Linked DNA regions of Drosophila melanogaster. The protein of the gene in region 1 interacts with the protein of each later gene in a pairwise test. Each region holds a gene or a part of one and is shown on either strand. Other genes may lie near its edges.

The links. The genes of interacting proteins can lie anywhere in the genome.
Region 2: the proteins of spri (region 1) and Rac2 interact in a two-hybrid assay, tested with the Drosophila melanogaster proteins (one large-scale study listed by BioGRID).
Region 3: the proteins of spri (region 1) and STUB1 interact in a two-hybrid assay, tested with the Drosophila melanogaster proteins (one large-scale study listed by BioGRID).

What each region holds. Positions count from the first base shown.
Region 1 is NC_004354.4:10,580,257-10,588,851, forward strand, and holds the start of spri (sprint), read right to left. Parts: upstream 5,167-8,595; 5' UTR 4,654-5,166; intron 1-4,653. UniProt on the Drosophila melanogaster protein: Potential Ras effector protein. May function as a guanine nucleotide exchange (GEF), by exchanging bound GDP for free GTP.
Region 2 is NT_037436.4:7,429,803-7,438,548, reverse strand, and holds Rac2 (Rac2), read left to right. Parts: upstream 1-3,358; 5' UTR 3,359-4,038; coding exon 4,039-4,617; 3' UTR 4,618-5,787; downstream 5,788-8,746. Other genes in the region: CG14835 (uncharacterized protein), read left to right, coding at 1,217-1,675. UniProt on the Drosophila melanogaster protein: Involved in integrin alpha-PS3/beta-nu-mediated phagocytosis of Gram-positive S.aureus by hemocytes.
Region 3 is NT_033779.5:10,434,199-10,442,199, forward strand, and holds STUB1 (STIP1 homology and U-box containing protein 1), read left to right. Parts: upstream 1-3,349; 5' UTR 3,350-3,640; coding exon 3,641-3,763; intron 3,764-3,842; coding exon 3,843-4,041; intron 4,042-4,102; coding exon 4,103-4,244; intron 4,245-4,392; coding exon 4,393-4,498; intron 4,499-4,557; coding exon 4,558-4,614; intron 4,615-4,683; coding exon 4,684-4,926; 3' UTR 4,927-5,042; downstream 5,043-8,001. Other genes in the region: TBC1D16 (TBC1 domain family member 16), read right to left, coding at 1-1,139; holn1 (hole-in-one), read left to right, coding at 1,888-1,991, 2,051-2,243, 2,309-2,971; Nse4 (Non-SMC element 4), read left to right, coding at 5,331-5,421, 5,473-5,690, 5,747-5,914, 5,978-6,307, 6,363-6,428.

The DNA of each region.
Region 1 (8,595 bases):
TGTTAGAAGAGTCGATTCGAGATATTTGAAGCATGAAATATCAATAACGAAATCAATATGAAACCTAACGAGTCTGTCGATCGGATCGATCTCATGGGTTAACATGATGTCGATTTGGTGTTATGAATATTTCGGTTTCGCCTCGGTTATTTATTAAATTTGTGTTAAGGTTAAATATCAGCGTGAAATTGAAATGAATTGTGTTGTGGTGATATTAAAGCGTTGGGATCATTTTCAGATACGATTAAACGAGAATCACGCAACGTTCGGAGATTTCGGCGGGCATATACGTCTAATCTTCTCGGAAGAGTAGAATCTTTATCGCTCCGTTCTTCTGGCCTTTGTCCCCGTTTCTTCGATAAACCAGCGTTCAAGTGTAAATTGAATGATAAGCCCGTTTACTGGGCTTCCAGACTCAGAACAGAGAGAGAGAGAGACACACTTAGCTCCCTCTCTCCTTCTATGATGATGATTGTCTTAATGATGTTGATGATGGGCTGGATGGATTGGATGGATGGGGATGGATGGGGATGGATGGGTATGGCCTTTCAATCTCAATTGGTCCGAAGGTGATTTTGTCGCCAAGGCGAAATCGATCGCATTTTATGGCCTCTCAATTGATTTCTGAAGTAAATATGGCTGCACTGGGAAAACTGAGTCAACAAGTTCTCATTTCCTCGACTTTTTTATGCAATCAATTGAGAAAAGAAGTGCTTGCAAGTTTATTTATGATCTGAAGATTCACCTTCAGTTTCTAGCAGTGTATTTTTCAGAGTGCCACTTGCCAATTGAAATGCATGTGGGTCAGCCATCAGCCAATGGTTCCAATCAGCGAACAACAAGTGTCCCTTTAATTAATCTGCACAATTGCATTGGCGTCACTGCAATCGACATGCGATATGCAGCAAAGTATCGTTTATCTGCCGTAACGTATACGCATACACTGCGGCGTATCTATATCTGTAGATACGGGCAATGCAGATCGCGTTGACCAAGGTCAGTTAGCGAGTGGTTAGACCAGCTTCGCATAAGCTCGGTTGAAGTATCTAATCGATAGGATTCATAGCTTTTCGATGGCTTTCTGATCGGACGAAAGAGGCGGCTTTTACTTTCCTCTAGACACAGTGAAAACTCAACGAAACCAGCAAACCAACAAACCGAACTGACGGAGACACAATACAATGACGACAGTTTGCATGGACAACAGACGCAACCAGGACAGCCAACACAACCCAACCAACCATACATATCATATCATATCAGCAGCCGTGGGCAAACAGAACGCACCAAAAAAAAAAAAAAAAAAAAAAAAAAAACAACTCAAAATGGTTTGGGTAGAGGACACCGACCAGATGATACCCCTTACCCTTTAGTTACTACATGTCCACAAATCCATTAAGCAATATATCCAATACGAAAACGAGTGAAAACTTTTGGAAACTGAGTTCCTAAAATAGAAATCACTGTATCCAATAATTTGTATTTGATTCGCCAAGATCTTTGCCCAAAAACCTTCTCTATATACAATGGCATGTTGCCCCAAGAGCCGCATACCACATTTCCGCATGGATCACTGGGTATGAAGGAAACATTTTGTTTGCAGCAGCGCATGGCAACCGAGAAGTGGCACCAACTTGCTGAAATCTTGAGGCGTCCAACGCAGAAGGAGGCGAACTAGATGAGGGACAGTAGGCGGACGAATTGGAATACGACTACGAATGCGACTACGAATGCGAAGGCCTTGTTTATGAATACGCGGGCATTGTCTGAATGCGAGATGTGAGGCATGGCACAACCAGGAAGAGGTGGATATGGATGTGGATGTGGATGCGAAGGAGAATTGGCTGGCCAAAAAGATACACAGCAAATATAGATACTTCTGCGGTCACAAACACACGTACAGATAAAGATACAGATACAGATACATTTTCAGAAACAGAAAACGATGCAGATATGGATCCAACACGGCCGTGTGTGTCTGTCTGTGTTTGGAAACTAAACAAGAAAATATTGACATATAGATTAAGACTTATTAAGGGAGCTCGAGCTTGGTAGTCGACATCAGATCGCTGGGAATGCCGACGCGAAAAATGAAAAGAAGCGAACAACTCTGATGGAGAAATGTGGCATGTTGCATGTAGCATGTGTAGTATGTAGTATGTAGTATGTGGCATGTCGCGTGGGGTGACATGTTGCCCGATCTGCCGTCTGCCACAAAAACACGTGCACTCACTCGCAAATACTCATATATATGTACAAAGATATGTATAAAGATATAGGAGCCCAGATACAGATACTGTGCCACTTGAATTGAGGCAGGTTCAGCCCGCCGCACACTCATGGCCAATATTTGCCAGCAAATATGGTCGAAATCTATATTTAGACACTTACGAACCGCGAATCAACTGATCGATTCCCATCCAACGATCTCGATCTCCCTTCCCAATAATAAAAACAGAGAGAAGACAGAAAACCGGAGCGTATCGCTGTTAACTGGCTTTCTATTGGAACAGTTGGGCGCAGCGGTTAGCTGTTGATAGCCGAAAGCAAAACAAAGTCGAAACAAAAACAAGAGTGCGACTTTCAGACCTCGAGACTCTTGGCCAACTATTTTGGCTGCCGCTGCGCCCACATGGTAGCTCAACTGGTGCTAAAAAGTGATCGCCAAAAAATGATCGCACCGCCAATGCAGCGCATTAGTCAAAGCTGACTTTTTTGGCAATTTTTTTTTTTTTTGGTATTTTGTTATTTAATCTCTGTTTTTTTTTTCTTGCCATCGAATAATTTTAACTCGACATTGCGGCATTTCGTGTGTGGGTGAGAAAAGTTTGGTGGGGAATTTAGCTGAGATCATTCAGTAGGGCTAAGGACTTATAAGCATAGTCAATAATCATCGGAAATTATAGCGATTTTATTTGAGTGTGATCATCTATCAGTCAATGAATTGGTATTCACAGAGATCACTTGATAATCATGAGTTGTATCCATTAAGTGGACAAATTAGTTAGTTCAGTGAGTGATATGATATGATAAATTAATTCTAAGAACTACTAAAAAGATATTAACTGGAAAGAGCCCGAAGAAAGGAAATGGTATCCCAAAAATATCTGGGCACATACGTTTGTATGTATATGATGGGATCGCAACGATTCCTACGTGTATTTAAATGACCATCGCGATAAGCCAAAAAAGCCAAAATATACGAGTGGGATTAGTGGGCATATACAGATGCGATGTTCCCATGCTGAGCGACGAGGATCATTAGCGAAGTAAACCACTGACGATCGCTATCATAATACTGGCATGGCAAACATACGTACGTACAGAGATACCTGGCTGACTGACTGACCAGCGAAAGCAACCCATTGATAAGACCGCTACAGTGGACTATCTAAACCTAATAGCTGTGACAACCGCAAATTGCATGAGGAATACCATATCGACCGGAGGGGTAGTACCGCAGGGTAGGGGAATGTACAGGTAGTGGGACACAGGTAATGACAATAAACATTCTCCACTTATCAGCAATCCGCTGATGCACGCACACAGAGCGAAAATTAGGGCACGTTTCACGCACACCACGGTTTTGGATATTATGTTAGATAATATAGATTATAATTGTTATACCATTTTGCTCTATTTATATATTTTTATATCTTAAGAATGCCTAATTAGTCAATAGTAATAGTAGACCTTGTTTGCTCTGTGCACTTGTGGTTAAGGAAATATTGAGATGATGTTGCGGTTTTGGTTTAGACTTGGAGCTCAGACTTAAGTTTTGGGTTTTTGCCTTTTGATTTTTCGTTTTTTTTTTTTGGCATGCGATAAGACTCGAGACAAAGCCAATTTCCCGCCGATTTCATTGGAAAGATATGGAGTATAGGGGGTTATACATATGTGCTAGCAACAGCTGATTAGCCATTTGAGCAATTTGCAGCACAATCCGTACACATTATCAAAATTTGAGCCGTTTATCATCAGGTGCGTGAAAGCAAGAGGGCGGTGCCCGATGAGGTGAGGAAATGACAACGGCGACAGGAATGCGAATGCGAATATACGAATGCGAATGCGATTGTATGTATGAATGGTATGTAGATGTACGATGGGTATATATGGTAGGTGCTATAAGGTGGCCTGCGAATACCTGGCCGATTAGCAATCCACTGTCAAAATGCATTGAAAGCGAAAGACGACACTAAAGGAAACAGGGACCAAGGGTGCAATGTACCGAGTGTGTAAACCGAAGAGAACCAGGCACAATGTAAAGAAATCCAACGCACTTTTGGCGAGAAAGACAAAAGAGCTTTTCACTCAGAAAAAAAAAAGAATAGTTGTACAGCAGTAATTATTACTATTTATTTAAAGTTAGGTTTTAATCTTTTTCCAAAGATATTGTACAAAGATTTAGTATGATAACCCAAACTGGGAGCAATTAATGGCCAATCCAAATTCACCATCTCGAGTGTGCACTGTATTTTCTTCGAGTGAAAGAAGGGCAAGCGATCAAGAGAGATAGAGTGAGAAGAGAGAGCGGGTGGAAGAGCGAAAAAAGGAGTCCGCGTGGTCGGTGAACTTGAACTTGTGAAAGGATGGGGGAACTACCGGTAAGTGGCTTTATGGATGGGCTACGATCATCACTTTCAATTAAATTACCAGGGGAACGCCAATGCCGCCAAAAGTCGCAACCCGGGAGCCTAGGAACTGGGAATCTCTAGTTCTGAAGATCTCAAGATCTCTGGAACCTGCTCCAATTTTTGTGCGCACTCGCACTCACTCGCCGACAAACTTCACTTCACTTTTCGCACTTAACTCGGCTGCTGTTGTTGTTGTTGTTACAAAACAATTAAATATAAATAACAACGTTGTAGCGCAAATAAAAAAAATTAAACAAAAAAAAATAAATAAAGACCGGGGGAAAAATATAAAAAAAAAGATGTGTATTTAATTGAGCGCGACACGCAGTGATCTTGTGCGACACAATATTATTTTACTTGAGTTGCAGCACAATTTCAATTCTCGCGATCGCCTTACGACTACGGGACTACGGCTTTACGGATTCCGAAGATTACGGGTTCAATTTCTTCTCCACAATTCTCCTTCAGCGAACGAACGAACGAACAACCGACCGACCGACCGACCGTTTGTGGCCGAGTGCGAACTCGAACTAAACTGAACTGAACTGAAGCCGCCGACAAAACGAAGATCGTCGCCGGCAGCAACAACTCGCTGCGATAATAGCAGCAGCAACAACAACAGCAACAACACAAGCAAAATTACGAGATGCGAAACGATGGCGCACAGTGGTCACACTCCTACTGAAAACTCTCCATTCAGTTGATGGATAATGTTAAAAGTTCTTTGCGCCACAAGATATGTATATGAATCTAAACTATTTATCAATAATAAAAGTATATTAAGAGGTATTTTTAACTTAACAGCACAATGGTCGAAGAGTTAAGGAAAGTTGTATCATATGTTTACAGAACATGTTAACAGCACTTTACTCCACAAGATATATGAAACCATGGAGTAATAGCTTAATAGTTAAACTATATTAAAAAAGAACTTAAACTTAACTCTATTGTGGTCACATGTCAGTCATAAGATCTTACATTTTTCAATATATTAATTACAACCATTTACCCAACCATACTAATTTATGAAAGTATAATATCAAAACTATAATATAATGTATTAAGCAAACTTTACGCTTACTCATAGATCATTGTTGTCACTGTGGTTAACATAGGTTGTAAGGAAGATAGCAAAGTTTTTAACTTTGTTAAAGAAATATTTAATATTAAAGTTTATTCTTCTGCTACTAAGTCAACTTACTGTATTAAAAGTTTCCTAAACTATTCTTTCCGTAAATTAACAATGTTTTAAAATGGAAATTACTATGAATGCAATGGATTGTTATATTGGTGTTTTACGGTTACAAAATTTTCTTTAAAAAAGCGCGGAGTTGGCAAAAAATAAATATTGCTCACCAAAGTGAATTATTAAACGGCAGGTGCTGATTTACTTTCGATTTTGGAAAAGGTGCTTGTAATTATCAAAAATTTATGCTGTCCCAATTTAATTAAACGTGTAATGCAAAATAAGCTTATATTGTTTAAAACAAGTTATAGCTGAAAGCCAAAGCTATGGCACATGGAAATCTAAAATGGTTGTTTTGCAATATATCAGTAATATTTTTTCACATGGTACTGCTGACCAAATCAATATTTCTTGCTGTAAAATGAGACTTTTAATTGTCGGAAAATTATGACACCCATAAATTTTAATTAGCAATCTGTTCTTTTTGTCTTTCGTTGTTTGGTTTTAGCTGGAAATTGAATGCACAGACTTTGGTTCACAATCTTAACAGATTCTCTTGAAAATTATCTTTTATCAGTTTTACTATCGTATATGAATAAGTATTTATATTAAAAGATATATTATTGTGCTTAACCCGGTTATATCTTGTTAAGAGGGCGACGTGTTTGTTTCGCTTGATTTGCAGCTTTGTTTGCTATGTGATCGCATTTTTTGCTCGCACTTATTAATTTTTTTTTTTTACAATTCACCTTGTATTGCCAGCCACAAACAATTTGAAAACGCGAAAACTGTCGATGACCGATAAGCAATTGTCGATTACCGATTAGCGTTTTGACTTCTGGAATTGGAAAGAAGCTTCTGATTTCTGATTTTTCACCTTTTTTTTAGCCCTTCCATTTCGAAATTCAGGTTTTCTTGACAGACCCCCATACCCGCCCCATTTGTCGTGTTGTTCTTCTTGTTGTTGTAAAGTGCCATTGTGTCGTGTCGTCGATCTCATTCGCAAATTATCTTTGTTTGCGAAATTGTAATTGTTTTTGCCGTGCACAATTCAGCAAGAAACCGAAGAAAAGGGCTGGTCTCGAAGTCACATTACCCTCTGATAGTTATTATTCCTTCACCTGCGATCTTGACCATCTCAAAAATTAAAAAAAAAAAAAAATGGTAAATAAATATATGAAAATTCATAACTAGATAAATTATAACTTTATAATAAATTATAACAGGTCGGAAAAATAGAATTAAAACGCTGATTATCATAGATGCCCTCAAAATATCGATGCTTACCATAGATGTCCTCAAAAAAACCAAAGATCGATGATTTTTTTTCAGTGCAAGTGGAGTGCTCAACAGCGGCAGCTTCACTATTGTTGTACTCGATAATGGCTTTTCTGTTCACTTTTTTACTCGTCCCCAAAAGCGGGGCGTGTTCGTTGCTTTGTGCTTTTGTTTTGTTGGTGGAGCTGCTTAGCTATTATTTTTGTTTTATTATTTTGTAATACCTTGACATAGGGTATTTAAATATTATGCAGAACTTCAAATGACCTGTCCGAACGGTGCATACACTATTTCTGTTTTTAATAACTTTTCAACACCTTTCCGGTGGTAACAGAGATTTTCAGTGTTTCCAAGCTAAGTTTAAAACATACATTTTCTTGGGTAAAGAACCTACATATCTCGAAAATCTATGGACCCACAACTACACTACCTGTAAACTTTTTTCTGGACCGTGTCCCAGTAGCAACACATTGAAGTATGCTCTGAGTCTGAGTTTCAGATTGCGATTCCTATTCCGATTCTGGGTTTTGTGTGGGTTGGCGACTGTCATTAAATAGTTTGCTTTTCGCTTTTTACTATAACTACTTCTCTGCTCTATTGTTTTTATGTTCTCTTTTATGCATTTGTTTTGCCTAACAATAAACGATGGGTGAACAACAAATGAAACACATGAAAGCGAAAATAGCAACTAAAACAGCAGTTCAATTAACTCTTTTTGTGAGAAATAAGTGCAATCAGATTTGGATTATAGACCAAAGTGTAGGGCATAACTTGATAGCTAACTCTTGATTTGTATTAAATAAGTTACTTTTTGAGTTCTGTGACAGAAAGTCGCCTACTATGCTATGAATCTTTTGAGTTCGCCTAACAATAGCTTTCAAATGGTAAGTGCTATTTTCCTATTCACTCTCGACGGAGAATGAATGACCGACCGACCGACCGCACAATCGTCCGATTAAGTGGCTCATTAGGCGCCGAGGAGGTCATGTGAGCCATTTAGGCAAATTGCATAAGCGATCCGATCCACTCAAGTGCTGTCCCAGCACAATTACACGACGTACAATGGGCGTTCGTAGACGAAGATATTGTGGCAGAGCACACCTGTTATAGAAACACCAACATCCCCACCGGTGGACTAATGGAATTTTAACGTTACGAAAAAGGCAACTAACCAAAACCACCCACTGGAATCTGGCATCCAAGGACCAGGATTAATGCGAACGTGGGGCGCATGTTGCTAATGTATCTCTTATTAGCGGACATACGCATTCCCATCCCTCATTCTCGTTCCCGTTCCTCGGCTCATTCTGCTCAACCCCCAGTGTCCTGCATCCTGTGTCCTCGGCTAATCCAGTGGAAACATCATTTTGAGCACCTGTTTAATTGCGTTAATCACCAGGAGCAAACATTATTGCCAGCGCCATCAGATGCCGGAATGATTATGACTGGGGTCCTCGGACCCTGATTACCGCGCTTTTTTTCGCCCTCAGCACTTTG
Region 2 (8,746 bases), on another chromosome or scaffold:
GCCCATAAAATAAACAGAAAAATAAATCAAACAAAAATACAAAAAACAAAGTTTTTCTGGAAACAAAGCATGTCATGTCATGTCATGTTTTTAAAAAATATTAATAAAAATTATTGTAAATATTCTGCAAAATGCAGTTTCTTATCTTAACTCTGTTAGTTATTTGAGTACACAGTATCAAATATTTTACAGCTTGGGATTAGCACACCCAAAATACAGGACTCCTAAAAGTCTACTGCCGTATTTAAACTTATTAAACTAAAATAATTTGGTTTGTATTGCAATTTGGGGATATTATATATAACACAATCGTTAAAGTGTTAAATTTATTGTTATTGTAGCCCTGTTACAGTTGAAGTTGCACTATTTGCTTTATTTCGCTCTTTTCTGTTCAGGCTGCGGTTCTTTAGCGCACATTCATTCATTATCGCCATATATATATATATATATATATATATATATATGTGTGTGTATATATATGTATATCTGTATATGTAGTGTGCGGTTCGTCTGGTGTGGCAATAAAAATGGCTTGAATATTTTTCAGTTTGTTATGCATTTTCCTGCCACTTGGGCAGCAACAACAATTATGAATAACTCGCTGCATAATGGCCAGCAAGCTGTTCCCATGAAATTCCTGCATCGATTACCGGGGGTTGGGATATATATTCATATAAATGTATATATATGTATATGTGCATATATCACTCCGCCAATTACGTGGCAAAGGGAACTGAACTGGGAACTGGCAGTCCCGGCGACAGTAATCAAATAATTGTTGCACTCACTGTCATACGTATCGCACTTTGGCTTTAATTATTTGCACAGTTTTTCACTCCGCAATGGACACGTCGTAATAAGGATATGCGGATAAAGTCCTGAATATGCCAAAGATTACTCGATTAATGCAAAGCGGTTCAGTGCGGCATTTCAATTGCAATTGTTTACTATGCAGAGCAGCAAATTGTTAGTTAACTTCTGGTAATAAAAAATTCACATATATGTACCTAATCGATTTCGAAACGAAACAAGTAATCCGAAATTTGTTTTCGTATATGTCAGCAGCGCTTGTATTTCGAAATACACCGATTCGTAGATGTGATGTTAAATATTTGATAAAACACATTTCCCAGTGCCACGACTTTACCAAAATTATTGAGTTTCCTGATCATCTCGCCCGTGCCGCATAAAATTCGCCTCCATTCCCGGCATTCCGATGGACTACAGCTATAGCATTGGCTCCAAGTCGCCAGTGTTCATCAGCAAATGTGCCCCGTACAACTTTCTGCGGGAATACCGCCTAGGCTGCGATTGTAAGAATATACCAGCTGTCACACTGGTTAAGGAAGCCCGCAACGCTTGGCACGCACTCAGTGACCAGGAGCAGTCCTTGTTCGAGGAAGTCCCCTATTTGATGGCCCAATTCGGACCATCCATCGAGTCGGCAATGAGGTTAACCGTCAATGTCCTGTCGCCTCAGCAGGTCACAGTGCAAAGGACGCGCTCTGATGTTCAGTCAAGTAAGCGTAGAATCTGTCGTGGAAATGCCAAGACGCATAGGAAGAAGCGGCAGCAGAAGATGGGTGCAACGAGCCGGAAGCGAAGTCCAGGGATTGGAAGTACCAGGTGTACCAGGTATACATCCCAATTTCACTGGGAAAACCCGCCTCTTTAAAAACCTTGATGAACCCTTTTGACCACCGGATATGCTAGCAATGGAAAATATAGGTACACTGCAATCAAATGTTTTTTTTTTCTGGGAGCTTAAAGGCTCATTTGGGTTTCAAAATGTTATGGTTTAAGTAAATAACTTTGCTGAAAGGTAATTTGATAACTGCATTATTTGTTGCGCTTATCGCTTTTCAACTTAATTTAACACCATTGTTTTAGCCAAAAGCTTTCGATTGGTTAATCTATTAAATTACGCTGTAATTTGAAAATTAATTCGAAAAAGTGTTGTTTTTGTTTCACGCCCTGACCCGCTGATAACCTTGCGACGCCCACCCGCCCACTTGAAATCGAATACGAAATCGAATGATTCATCCACGCACAAACGGAAACAGAAACATTTATTCCACTTGAACGGACTTCATTGGCGATTTAATTGTTGCGGATTTTTTACAGTAAATTCCATTAAAAACTTTTTGAAAATGCATATTATTGAAATTCATATATTCGTGCTTGTTGTTCGGATTGCTGGAGAACAAATTTTGTGGCGCCTATTTAATTATCCAATTACAGCAGCACCATCAGCAGTGCGAGAAATTAACTTAAATGCGAAAATATTCGCCGACGGCACTTTAAACATTTCCATTTTAAAATCAATGCGAAAATGGGCGTGGCATGTGGAGGACGGGGGGGGGGGATGTTTTGGGCTTCTGGTTGGTGGGGCGGAAGCCAAAACACAAACACGAAATATTTCGGCTATCACTTTTGGCTGAATGCGGATGCGGCGGATTCGGTGGATTCGGTTTGGGTTCTGTTTTTGCTTTTCGGTTTTTACTGTCGATATTTTGCACTGTTTGCCAATGTTATTTGTTTGTTATTCCTTGGGCTTTGGTTTTTGCCGACACACGCAATTTTGTGGTCCATTAAAACAGTCAACGGCAGCAAATATCGCTGGTCATGAAAAATTTAATAATTCGTTTAAGAATTAGATGGGATGTAACGGTCGTAAATTAATATGGCCCGAATTAAGGAGAATTAAAAGTAATTCCAGAATCTAAATTTGAGTTTCCAATTTTAAAATATGAATACTTCCATTTAAGTATATTCATCCAAAGACTGTGACACATATTTAGGTCACATAATTGATTCATCAATAAAAAAAATATTGTTCAATTAATATTTATATCGCGCGATATCAACGTTTTGCTTGTTTTTGGTGTGGCACTGTAATTGTACCGCGATAAGCTACGGGCGATTTGTACCTGAGTTGGGTACCGCACATCTCTGATAGCCTCTAGTCGCGTGGAAATTGGCTCAAAACAACAGCAACGGTCGGGAAATTCGTGGAAAACCGTCGAACGAATATAGAAAACTCTACAAAAACGACCAAAGCAAGGTCAAGTAAAGAGACTCACTATCTCTGTCTCGCTCTGCTCTCTGTGGATTGCCACGACTAACGTCACCGAGCGAATGACTCACTGTGACTAATTTTATGGGACTGCACTGTGCCAGTGCCGCTCTCGCTCACGTTCGCTCGCTCGCTCTTTGTGTGGGAGAGCGTATGCGCGCAGCGCTTCGTTTAAGCGACTAACGCACGCGAACGAGCGAGACAGCCGTACAAGCCAGTTGAAAGAGCGAAAACTACAGTGAAAAAACAAGTACAACAACTGCCAGCGGAGGCAGAAATTTTCTTCAATCGCCGCGAAGATTTCACAGCGTTTGGGCGTGTTTTTTCCGTTTCTGCCACAGAAAATCAGCAAATCCCCACATATGCGGGCCCAATTAATTCATAAATAATATACCGACCGAACAGAAAGAACGCCGTCACGGTTCTGCTTTCAATTAAGAATATTGATTTGACAACTTTCGCGATAAATCAAACTCCACTTCAAATTCGCATCTCTCTCTGTACGCGATTGCTTGAATGTGTGTGTGTGTGTGGGCAGAATTTGTATTAGTGCGTGAGCAAATTATTGTATAATCGCCAAAAAAAAAAAACAATAAAAGCAAAACGCCAACGCGAAAAGCAAAAGCTATACAATTAGAAAAACTAGCTGAGCTGCGATACAAGGCAAAACTAAATTGTGTGACTAAAATTTGTCTGTTGAACAGAAAAAAGAAAAGTACAAAATAGTTCAAAAGTACAAATATCGAAGCATTCAAAAACTGTCTGACCTACTGAATTGAATGAATTACCCCAAAGTAATTATAAGTTAAGCTGCCACAAAGAAAACCAGTTGAGCCACTGGAAATCGAGCACGAAACCAGCTGATCCACTGAAAAACCCTCTGCCCCCAGCGCACAAGCAACCCATCGAGCTGCTGAACCCATCGATTGCCCAGTAGTACCACCAGTACAGTAGCCTTCATCATGCAGGCCATCAAGTGTGTGGTTGTGGGCGACGGAGCGGTGGGAAAGACCTGTCTGCTGATCAGCTATACGACCAACGCCTTCCCCGGCGAGTACATACCCACGGTGTTCGACAACTATTCGGCGAATGTGATGGTGGATGCCAAGCCCATCAATCTGGGCCTCTGGGATACGGCTGGACAGGAGGACTACGATCGCCTGAGGCCGCTATCCTATCCGCAAACGGATGTCTTTCTCATCTGTTTCTCACTGGTGAATCCGGCATCGTTTGAGAATGTGCGAGCCAAATGGTTTCCCGAGGTGCGTCATCATTGCCCGAGTGTGCCGATAATCCTGGTCGGCACCAAACTGGATCTGCGCGACGATAAGCAGACGATCGAGAAGCTGAAGGACAAGAAGCTAACACCGATCACCTATCCCCAAGGACTGGCGATGGCCAAGGAAATAGCTGCGGTCAAGTATCTGGAGTGCTCGGCCCTGACCCAAAAGGGTCTGAAGACGGTCTTCGACGAGGCCATACGATCCGTGCTATGTCCTGTCGTTCGAGGACCCAAGCGGCACAAGTGCGCCCTGCTCTAAGAACTTTGAACCCACCCAAAACAAAAACGCGAAGAACTTCAACAAAAACAAAAAAAAAAACGAGAAGAGAAGAGAACAAAGCGCAAAATTCTGTGCAAAATATTCATATTCGCTTTGTTGGGTCTTTAGTTACAGCAGATAGTGTGTGAGTGTGTGTATTGTGTGTGTGTGTGATGTGAGTGCAAGTGTGAGCGCGTCTCTGGGTTGCGAGTGTGACGGCATGAGTGTGTGAATGAGTGAGCGTAGTTTTGTTTTTATTGTCAGCTTTATGTGGGGGAGCAGCAGCCACAAAAACAACAACACAGCTATCAGCAAGGGGGCTACACAGGGTGGGGGCGGGGCCAGGGGTCTCTGGGGGGCAGATCACGGATAGAAAGATATACACATAAGCATATAAGTATGATATTGTGCGTACACAGTAAAATAAATGTGGAAGAACTTCTAAAACTTGAGATATTTGATGTAATATTGCTCAAATTAATTTCTATATTGCTCTAGATAACATGTTTAAATTTTTCTGTTCTGAGTTATTGTTTCGTAGTATTTTTAATGACTAACTTGTTTTAGAATTTAGATTAAGTACAACTCATACTTTTGCGCTTATGACATACAAGAATTAACATTTTAAAAATGATTTCGACTAATTAAAAAAACATTTTTTATATAATGTTAATTGCAAAAAAAGAAATTTTGATTTTCGCAAATAGTAATCCATAAATTGCCTTAAAACGCAAGTGCATTATATTAAACAGCAGAAATTAGAACTTTGCAAATGAAATTCGGCCTGAGAAACGTATGACAAATCAAATAAAATTAATTGTAAATAAATCTAGACGATTTATAGCCTTTAGCGCCCCAAACGCAGTCACTATAACCAGTACCAGATAGCCGTTATCTGGGTGTGGAAGAAAAACCCCAGGAAAGGCCCCGCCTATGGCCAATATCTGAACAATCGGGGAATGTGGGAAGCCGACAAAAAAAGAACTTTCATTTATACATATAGTATTTAGAGTTACGTGTGAATGTGTGTGTGTGTGTCTGATCAATGGTCTTCCCGCTCAACGCATTTGCCTGGACTTGATTTAATGTATACTAAATGCACAATTAGCCTCTACTTTGATGTTAATTTATATACTGATATTTATGTTAAATAAATGCATACATTTTGCCAATTTGTTTTAACGAAAGAGAGCGAGCGGTAAATTAAAAAAAAAGGAAACACTTTATTTATATTAACACATAATTTATCAATAAAGAGTGTAATATTAATCAACCAAAATAAACGTTTGTACAAAACTAAATAGTCGGATGAATTATGTTGGGAGCAAAGTGCAATTCAGATTTATGTCTATTATGGAAGTAATGTGGGTATATTTAAAGGTTTTCATAGTTGGCAATGCAATGGTGCTTGACCCCTGAACTGCTGCATACTTTTCGGCTAGTGGGGAAAATTGCACACGCCTGGCAACTTTAATCTTATCTGCACCCGCATTTGTCACAAATTTTAGATAATTATTTCCGATTGCCGGACACGCCGGAAGTTCTGATCCCCGGACCGGTTGACTAAGCAATTTGCCAGTTTCAGTCCTATCATACATACATACATACATATGCCTATATACTATAATGGCTACATCATATTTATTTATGTCTTTATGCTCCGCTTTCTTTCAATTCTATCTATATCTATAGAATACTTCGATTGTCATAATGAGCCAGCTGTTGATTGATTGCCCGCGGATACGAGTATGATGAGGGGCTGGTTTGGGTGATTTGGGTGTTTTGGGTGGGTGGTTTTCGATGGCTTTGCGGTCACCGTGTGTCTGCGGCTCGTTAGCGGATGTGGGCATGGCCCCACACTGCCGCTGCTCAGTGTGTGAATTTGACAAATAATTACATAAGACAACCTGCTGTGCGAATTGTGCCCATCCTCCCGCACATTTCAATGGCCACTGATGGATGTTTTTGCCACACCACCATCACCAACCCATCGTGTGGTTTTGTCTGTGACGCGACGAATCGCATAATTGACCCACATTTTGAACAAACACCGCGGCACCAGGCAGCAATCAAAACAGAGAGAGGCCGTAAAGGATAGGGAGACCAACGAAGTCAATTTAATTAGCAAAAACATTTGGCTAGCATCTAGAATTTGGCTGCACCTTTAGAATTTGCACTTTTGGCTCTAGAATGCACCGCTGAAGAAGCCGCTGAGTGAAGACGCGTTGACAGGCGTGGAATGTTCGGCATGTTCAGATACAATTGCCCTACTACATTGCATGCAGATACTTTGTAACAGAACAATACCAAATTCATTTATAATCAATTTCATAAACGAGATCCACGTGTTTGCAAGTTATACAAATAACAGTTTTAAATGTATAGGTTTCTTTGTGCTTCATGCTGGCTTCAATTAATTTCCAAATTTTCCTACGTCTTTAAAAAACATTTCATACAAAAAAGTCTGTATAGTTAGTTTATAAAATTCCTCTAAAATGCAAATGACTGTGCTTTTTCCAATGTGAAATTTATTTCTCACCTGTAAACAGCAGCATTCCAATGCTCTCATAAATAAAAGGCATATAATAAAATTGGCTTGATTTTCCCTTTAATTTTCCATTTACCAACCACAGTCCAAATTTTAGAATGTGAACGGTATTATTCCTTGATTATCACCCCATCCCCCTCCCATCAAATCGAAGTGGGAAAACTGCAGAATGGCCAATACCGCTAAGTGGACAACTGCTGTGCGATGCAAATCCATTGACAAGTGTCGCATAATCATGCCCCATGCCAAATGTAAATGCAAATGGAAATGGCAAATTTATGCACTGCATGCGTGAAATTAAAAGCTTCCCCGGCGGACTTACAGCTCCATTTGGTCCTGATTTTCCAGGGCCAGGTTTTGCAAAAGAGGCTTGCGCAATTTGTCCGTTTTCAAGCGGTTAACAATTTGGCTAAATCAATTATACGCTCGGTGAGCAACATGGAATCGTGGCGATTTTCAGCTTAATTGAGAGATTTCCAGCGAATTCGTGGCCGTTGGGAAAAGTGGAAAAATTTAATATGAAAATTTCCGAAAGAATTCCTTGCTGGCCACAAATTTCGTACAAAATGCCAATAAAATACGCTCCAGCGTAAAAATTCCATGCCACATAAGATGAAGGTAAATTCAGGTGAGCTTGGCGCTGGGGGAGGTCAAAATATTTCACACTTCCGGTGTGGAAAATGCTTGCACCTGATCCTCTGCCAACAGGATATGACAAGCTCGGACACCTTTTCACATCCCCGCCCAAACCACCCAGCTATTTTCTCAGCATATTTTCAGCGGCAACTTCCTGCCAGAAAACACATTGCAAATTATGATGCGAACGGAGAATGGGCGGAAATGTTGAGTTTTCCAAAACAGCCAACTAAAAAAAAATAAATTCATTTGTGCGCTGTGATGCTGCTATTGGTTTTGGCTGCTCATGGAAAAACAAAAAAATATAGGACAAATCGATTTTACTCAAACTGGAAACGACTTCAATACAGATCAATAAACGTTGAAATAATGAAAAACAATAGTTTCCAGCTTTTCCCAAGTTAACTCGAAATTACAACATTTTCAAATTTCACATTAAGATGCTGAATATTTAAGCGGAATAAAACGCGATGCTTGCTGTGAGCAAACAAAAGCTTGAGGACGCAATTGATATGGATGGCCAACAGGCAGGACACGCAGGACATTCAATGGGCTGTGGCGAAAGGAGCGAAGCCATCTAGTGGCGTAGCCAATATCCGTTGCAAGGATTACGCATGTGGGTATCTGCCTCGGACTTGTTATTGATAATCTTTGTCATGGCCAGCATGGCAACGTAAAGCATCGACAGCGGCTAACAAAAAAGCAAGGAGTCACAGGACAACAGCGTGCCGGCAAAGGATGCAGTCAACAAAATTTTAGTACTTCACATTACTTTAGCTTATGGTTTAAAAAATTGTATATACATACATTGAAATTTTTAAGAAGAATTTGCAAGTTTTGATACAAAACGTACTAAGAAAGTTGTGCGTTCCTATTGTGGAAATCAAAGATCGAGCATCTCAATATTTTTGATTGTGTAAAAGATGGGCCAGGATTATCGTCCTG
Region 3 (8,001 bases), on another chromosome or scaffold:
AGCAGCAAGTCGTCCTCGATCTGTCCCTTCTCATTGAGCAGCGTGCCGTAGAAAAAGTTCGTTGTTATCTTCTTGACATCGCCCTCGTCCGGATGCATTTCCGATTTCTTAACCTCCGGCCGACAGACCATGAAGTGCCTGTACGGCAAATCGAATTTATCCTGGCCCGTTTCCGATGTGATGTTGTGCAGAAAGCAGTGCCACTGGTGCAGCACCTGGGCCAGGTGATCCAAGCCACCGTAATGGAAATGTAGAATCTTGTACTGCGACTCCCGCGACGCGATCACCAGCTGACCCGAAGTGCAGTTGTCGTCATTGAAGAAAAGGCGCAGAGATCGCATTTGGCTTAGGTCAACGGAGAAATGGCGGCACTTCATCGCGGATTTTTGGCGATCGGCTGGCGTCGAATTGCCGCTATCCGGGAACTCCAGGTTGTGCTTGAAGGCCAGCAGTTCAGGTGTTGTCCACTTTGGGTTATCGGTTGCCGGGCCATCGCCTACTCCAGAACCATTCGTGCAATCGGAGCAATTGTTACTATCCGGCCGGATGGTGATGCAGTTGAAGGACTGCGATATATTGCTGTTCTCGATCTGCGGATTGGAGATCGTTATGTTCACCGACGTGATGGGGTTATTCTTCAGCAGAGCGGTCAAGTCGTCTATGGATGCAGCTTGGCCACCCAGCAGCGGTTGCAGTTCGTTCTTTAGCTCCTGCATATCCGCCGCGTTCTCATCCTCCTCCCGAATGTCCCTCTCCTGGATCGTCTGCGGTATGGTCACGTGGCAGTAGCCGTTTCGAGAGTCCGGCGACTTGCTCCTCGGATTACACTGACCCCGGCAATCGTCGGCATTCAGATTGGTATACTTGCATAGCGACGAGTTCGGTATCCAGGTGAGCAGAAGCGTGGGCCTCTTGGCGCTATTATACTGATCTACAAAGGTCTTTGTCGTGCAGGTCAAATAGCCCGGATTGTGCAGTATATCCGACTCATCGCGGGCGATTGTGGGCGGATGGATGCAGACGTTATTCTTGCAGAAGAGGATTTCGTTGTCTTCGTAAGCAATATCGATTTTTCTGTCCAATCTCTCGTCGCCCAGTATGAAACTAGAAGCCTTTTTGATAATGCTTCCTATGGGCATGGTCTCGAATTTGATATCCTTGAGCGGGTAACTACTATATGGTGAATTATAGGTTTCCTTCCCGGAGTTATCCTAACGGATTTACTAGTGGGCGGATGGGGAACTTTTTTCTCTGGTTAGCTTCTGGTTTGGCGGATTTTTGTTTGATTATGGCGGTCGCTGGTTACCATAATTTTAGGAATTGGTTGGCTAAACCTTTGATTCGACAATTAATTGTAACACAGCGGATTGGTGAAAAAAAAAACTATTAACTTTTGATTCTAGGGACCTCTCACAAGCAGGATGACATTGGAGGAAAAGAATTTACGCGAAAACTCAGCGCAGGCGCAGTTAACAGTCGATGGTTTTAAGACTGGTTTCGATATTTAATACTTTAAAAATGTTGAGGATTTATTAATTCAAACTGCAATGAAAAGGTATATTTTTAATAACAATGATAATATATTAAATGCGAGTAGGTGTATATTAATATCTTCTTATTCAGCTTGCAAATCAATCAAATCTAAGTCTATTTCTATAAGCTTTCTTCACATAATCATACTATATATCAAATGGAATACAAAACATATTATATATACATTAATTAAATATAATTTAAATAAATTTTAGAAACTACAGGAACATTGGTATTGGAACAGCATATGTTCCAGCTATCGATATCAGACTTACCTTCACTAACGTAAATAGAATCAATAGTCGCTTAAAAATATTGACATTGCATTTAGTTTTGTCTTGAGTTCTTGATAAAATGGCGAGCAAAAGAAAGCACCAAGCATCCCAGAAAGTGAAAGAGGAATCCTTCAAGAAACACACGCTTGACTCCGATGAAGAGGATTCTGACGACTACGAAAGGTAATGCTTAAAATGTGCAAACAATTGATTGTTTTGATTTCGGCACTTTTTGTTTGCAGGGAATACCTCAATGATAGCGACATTGAGGGCGGCGAGGAGGGCGTGGCAAAAGTGGAAGACGATGTGAAGGTAACACCCTTCAATATGAAGGAAGAACTGGAGGAGGGACACTTCGACAAAGATGGTCACTACCATTGGAACAAGGAGACGGAAGCAAAGGACAATTGGTTGGACAACATAGACTGGGTTAAAGTAAGGATTCCATCACTGCTGCCTGTACACAATCATTTAATTTAAAAGCAATATTTGCCTAACAGATTGGCACACAGAAGAACGCCTTCGACCCGGCAAAAGATGAAGAAAACTCTTCCGATGAGGAGAAGAACGAACCCGTGGGCAAGGCCTTTAACTTGTCCATGAACCTCATGAAAATGGTCGAGTTTATGAAACCGGGAGAGACTGTCAAGATGACCCTGCAGCGTCTGGGTAAGCAGCGCCCCGTCCTAACAACCCTTCAGAGGATTAAGCAGAAAAAGGCCGGCATCGTTGACCCAAAGACACAGGAAATCTCTCAGCTCACCGAGCTGGCCAACGAGATTCTCTCGAAGACGGGCAATATGGATATATATCAGGATACGTACGAAAGCATCAAGGCCAAGATCGCCGATTTGCCAGGAACGAGCAAACCTAAAGTAGCCGATGATATTGATATGTATGCAGATGATTTCGAAACGAAAGAATTGGAGCGCTCTAAGACATCGTCGAGTGATAGCTCCAAACCAACGACGACTACCTCAGAGGTGACCTGGGAGTTTAAATGGTCGCAGGATGAGACTGATATCCAGGGACCCTTTTCCACGGAGAAAATGTTGAAATGGTCCCAGGAGAACTACTTTAAAAACGGAGTCTATGTGCGAAAGTGCGGCGAAAACACAAATTTCTATACAAGCAACCGCATAGATTTCGATTTGTACTTGTAGGCCTTAGTTAACAAATGTTAAATTCTTTGGGTTTTAACATGTTTTCTGCAAATACTTTGTTCTATAATTGTATACTGTATACTTTACAAGAGGTTTCAATTAGTTTGCACTTGGTTTGGACTTAAAATAAAATTCATATTCATATTGATTCTGTCGGCTCTTAAATTTGGTCAGATATACCAAATTATGTATCCGAGTTACTTGCGCTAGTGACGAATAGCGAAAGATTCTTCTATTAGACCCACTAGTTCAGTAAGAGATATCTGATAGTCGAGAAACTCGAAAATGGCACTGTTGTTTTTGAAATGTGCAAACGATAGTGTGGCAAAAGTATCGTTTGGGCGGTGATAGTGCAATCGATGAATGTGCAGCTTTAATTTAAGCTTGTGAGTCTTGGCAACTCTAGAAACACATCGATTAACGTAGCTGAAAATTGTTTTATGTTTAATTAAATACAGGCGAATAGCTCAAGATCTTTTTGGTGTTATGAGCGTTCAAAAGTCACTACCGTTTCCCACTTAATACTTTGTTAACTGTTAAGTTCGTGCAGCAGTTCCCCAATTCTTGCAGAGGAAACAAATTTACGAGTGCTTCGGTGTTGTTGGACACACACTCACTTTTCATCGGTGGAAAATCAAATTTGGGACCAGGCGCAGAAGATTCGTCAGGATGACGACCAAGCACATCTATTCCACGACCAATTTATCAGATCTGCAATTAAAGGAGCAGGGAAACTGCTTGTTTGCAGCCCGAAAATATGACGACGCAATAAATTGCTACTCAAAGGCCATCGTAGGTGTCTCACATATTTTTGTTATTGTGATGTGTATTTTGTTGTTTACATGTGCACTATGCTCCATATAATATGTAGATAAAGAACCCCACAAACGCCACATACTTCACAAACCGAGCCCTCTGCAACCTGAAACTGAAGAGATGGGAACTGTGCTGCCAGGATAGTCGGCGCGCCCTCGACATCGATGGGAATCTGTTGAAGGGTCACTTCTTCCTGGGCCAAGGACTCATGGAAATCGACAACTTTGACGAGGCTATAAAGCACCTTCAACGGGGTTAGATAATACCTGACCTTTGATGTTCTCTACACTAACTAACCATATATGAAACTTATAGCATACGATCTGTCCAAGGAGCAGAAGCAAAACTTTGGGGATGATATTACACTACAGTTGCGACTAGCTCGCAAAAAGCGCTGGAATGTTATGGAGGAGAAGCGAATACAGCAGGAAATCGAGCTGCAAAGCTATTTAAATGGGTAAGATGTTATTCGAATTCTCTAGATGCCTTTTGCAAACTAAATTTAGTCACCGCACGACGATATCGAGGCAATTGTTGTCCTCATGTGATAGAATATATATTAAAAAAAGCGAAATTTGTGCAAAACCTAAATATTTATGTTTCAGTCTAATAAAAGGGGACATGGAAAGCCGTTTGGCCAATTTAAAGCTGAATGGAAATGTACACGATGAGCAGCTGAAAGACAAGCAACAGGAAATTGAGCAAGAATGCGTAAGTTGGACTTTAACCAGAATATTTAGCGGAGTTGACAATCTAATTTTACTTTTTAGGATGACCATATTAAGGAACTTAACAATATATTTTCTAAGGTTGACGAACGTCGAAAGGTAAGAAACTAAAGGAAAAATAACCAATATTAAAAATATTGTTCTAATATTGTTATTTACATATTACAGAAACGTGAAGTTCCCGATTTTCTATGTGGCAAAATAAGTTTTGAAATATTAACAGACCCTGTGATAACTCCATCTGGAATTACGTATGAACGAAAAGATATAGAAGAACACTTGCAGCGGGTTGGACATTTCGATCCTGTGACACGCGTTAAGCTCACTCAGGATCAACTAATACCAAATTTTTCAATGAAGGAAGTGGTTGACTCTTTTATTGCCGAGAATGAATGGTCTTTAGATTATTAAGTTACTTATTAGTTGGCATTGTCATTGTAATTGATTAGATGTTAGAACCCAGTTCCCATTGTCTAAAAACCAGATAAGTGATAATAAATGTGGATCTGCAATTGAGATTTATATTGTAAATGGATAAATTGTAATTATTAATAAATTAAACAGCATAATGTTCAAAATATAAATAAAAAAGCTTTTGCACGATATCGATAGAGAGTTAGCGGTAGTGTGAAAACAATATAGTTTCGATCACCCGTTCCAGTTAGTCAAAAAGTTGGTGATATCTTGACCAAACAAATTATCGATATACAGCTGCTTACAGATTTGCAGAAATCATTTTCAAAGAAATTTGTTTATGTGAATTCACAATTGGATTAACTTCGCTCTTCTTTGTTTAGTATTTATTTAACAATAATATGGATTCGTCTGAAAGCCAATCGCAAATGGATGACCAAGATGCTCGCATACTGCGTCTGCAAAATCTGATCGAAAAGAATATTGAGATAGGTAAGTTAAATCATAAATTACTAATATCTGAAATAACTATATGAATTGCAGAGCAACAAATCGAAAACAACACCATCGGAGAGTCTATCACGGCCATAGAGGAAATCATTCAGACAGCCAACGATATCAGCAAGGGACATGAAGACCGCCGTACAAACTCCACGGAACTTGTCCTGGACACGGAGCTACTGCGTCGCAATTTCGAAGTTGTGGGAAAAGCTATCCAACATAACACCAACGTCACGGATCGAATGGTGGCCACGGCGATCGTAGGTGCACTGTGTACTTTATTTATGCCTGATCGTAATGTTTGATCCTATTACAGAACGATTTGGTTTTCAAAGAGAGCGAAGAAGATTGGGATGCTCTTTGTTCATTGGCTATTCAGTTCGGAAGACCACTCTTCACCAATGATAGCATGCTGCCCTTCATAGATGTTACTCCAAAGGTGGTGGTTCAAAAGCAACGTGCTCCTCGCAAAACGAAATCTCAAGTAAGTCATTTGTTAAACAATTTCTCACAGTAATATTTGTTCATATTATTATGGATCTTGTAGGTAGATGAGAAGCGTCCAGAAAAGAGTGACCAATTGGAACGCAAGGACGAAGGAGCAGCGTCCGTAACCCACATGCTGAAGCAAATAAGACAAATATATCGAGATGGCAATCAAGAGCCGATTCCGTACTTTAAACTGATTTGCAATCCAAACAATTTTATGGACACCGTTCAGAACGCTTTGCAACTGTCGTTTCTTGTCAAGGAGAACTATATTTCCATCGAAAATGGCGAGGATGGTTTGCCATTGGTTCGCGTTGTGAATTCCAAATCGGTCGAAGGAAACGCACCGTCCCAGGCTATTTGTTCCATCGATGTTACCTTTTGTGAGGTTCGTATTTCAATTATTGTTTAAAGCATTATAATTGATATGATTTAAATTACAGAAAATGGTAAAGCACTACAACCTACATGAGCCAATGTTAAAAAGACTTCCGGTTAGTGAGAAATAGATATATCACTTAGTTCATATTAATAGTTTATATTGTTATTAATAAAACACATAGAACGTTTAAAGTTACTCATGTACGGCATAAATAATCGGGTAATTGAAAGTGTTCTTTCCCCCAAACATTAAGTAATTAACGTAATATCAACACAAAATCATTAAATGAATTTTATTACTCAAGCAGTTACTTCATAGTTCAAACACTTCCCCCAATATTTTACTACGAATCCGCCCCTGCCATTATGTCAATTTTTATGACCGCCTACAAATTGTGAAATATGTAGAAGGGGCACTTGTGAAGTTATAGCAATATAAAATGTATGTATGTTATATTTAGGAACTAAATATTAGTTAAGTTGTTTACTTATAACTTTAACCAGTTTCGGATTATGTTCTTAATCCGTTTTTCCTGGTCTCAATGGGTGGCATACCAAGAATTAAACAAATAAATTACTTTGCAGAGTGGAATAATGAATGAATGAATGATTGGTCCATTAATTAAAAAATCACTCCTGTGCTCGAAATTAGTGCACTTTCCGTTGCACAGCGGCTTTTAATTGAATTCCGTTAACTTAATTCCACAAAGAGAAATTAAGATTAATTAAGATTTATTGCACAATGAAGCTTAGGGTTAATTGCATCTTTGCGGTCGACGGAGTTTAAAAGGCTTTCTATGGAGTATAGCCTTTTCTAAGAGATCAGTGCTTCTATTCAAACTGGATGTAGTAGATCAAGTTACTCGATGCACTATTGTCTGAGATTTTGGGGCTTTCAACTTCATGTGGGCGAAGAGAGTTGACCCAAGTGCAGGAAACTAAGCTAATGTGTAATTATATATAAAACCAAAATGAAGATTTATTGCTCCATATCAGCATAGCAACAAACGACCCAATTAATAGCCACCCAATCTTCAAAATACAAAATTAATGATGCACAAGCGCAGTTTCAATAAGTTGCCAAGTTGGGTTTGTCTTAGTAAATTCCATTGAAGAATTCTACTTCTATGAAAAACTTAGTAAATGCATTATGCTACTATGAGTTTGAGCAAAGAGAAAATAGTTTTTTTTTAACTGGAAAATTATTGAAAAAATGTATTGTTTTTATGCATATGCTGCAATATGTTTTTATTTCAAAAAAACAATTTAGCTTTAAATTTTATCTATTTCAAAGTTTTCTTATTTTGCAAGCAAACTTTTTAAGTTCTTGCCATTTTGGGAGCCTTCTTCTCTTAGTTTCTGTGTGGGAAGCTTAAGTCCGGATTCAGTTCTGCTAAATTATAACCAATTTGGACTCCATAAATTTCCTTGGATCACTTTCGCATTAAGCGTTTGCGTAAGGTTCGAATGTACATTTGTTCTCGCATTGATATTCCGCTGAAAGCTACATAAAGTTAAATGCATACATATGCAGAGACATCACCCACATTATTGTAACTCACCCGTGGTCACAGGCACACCTGCGGTCAGCTAAATAGCATCACTGAATTTTAGATGAAGTGTGAACTATATAGGGTTCTTATTTGTCTTGCCAAAAGCAGTATGATATTAATGAGTAGCAATTGTTTACCTTGATTTAAA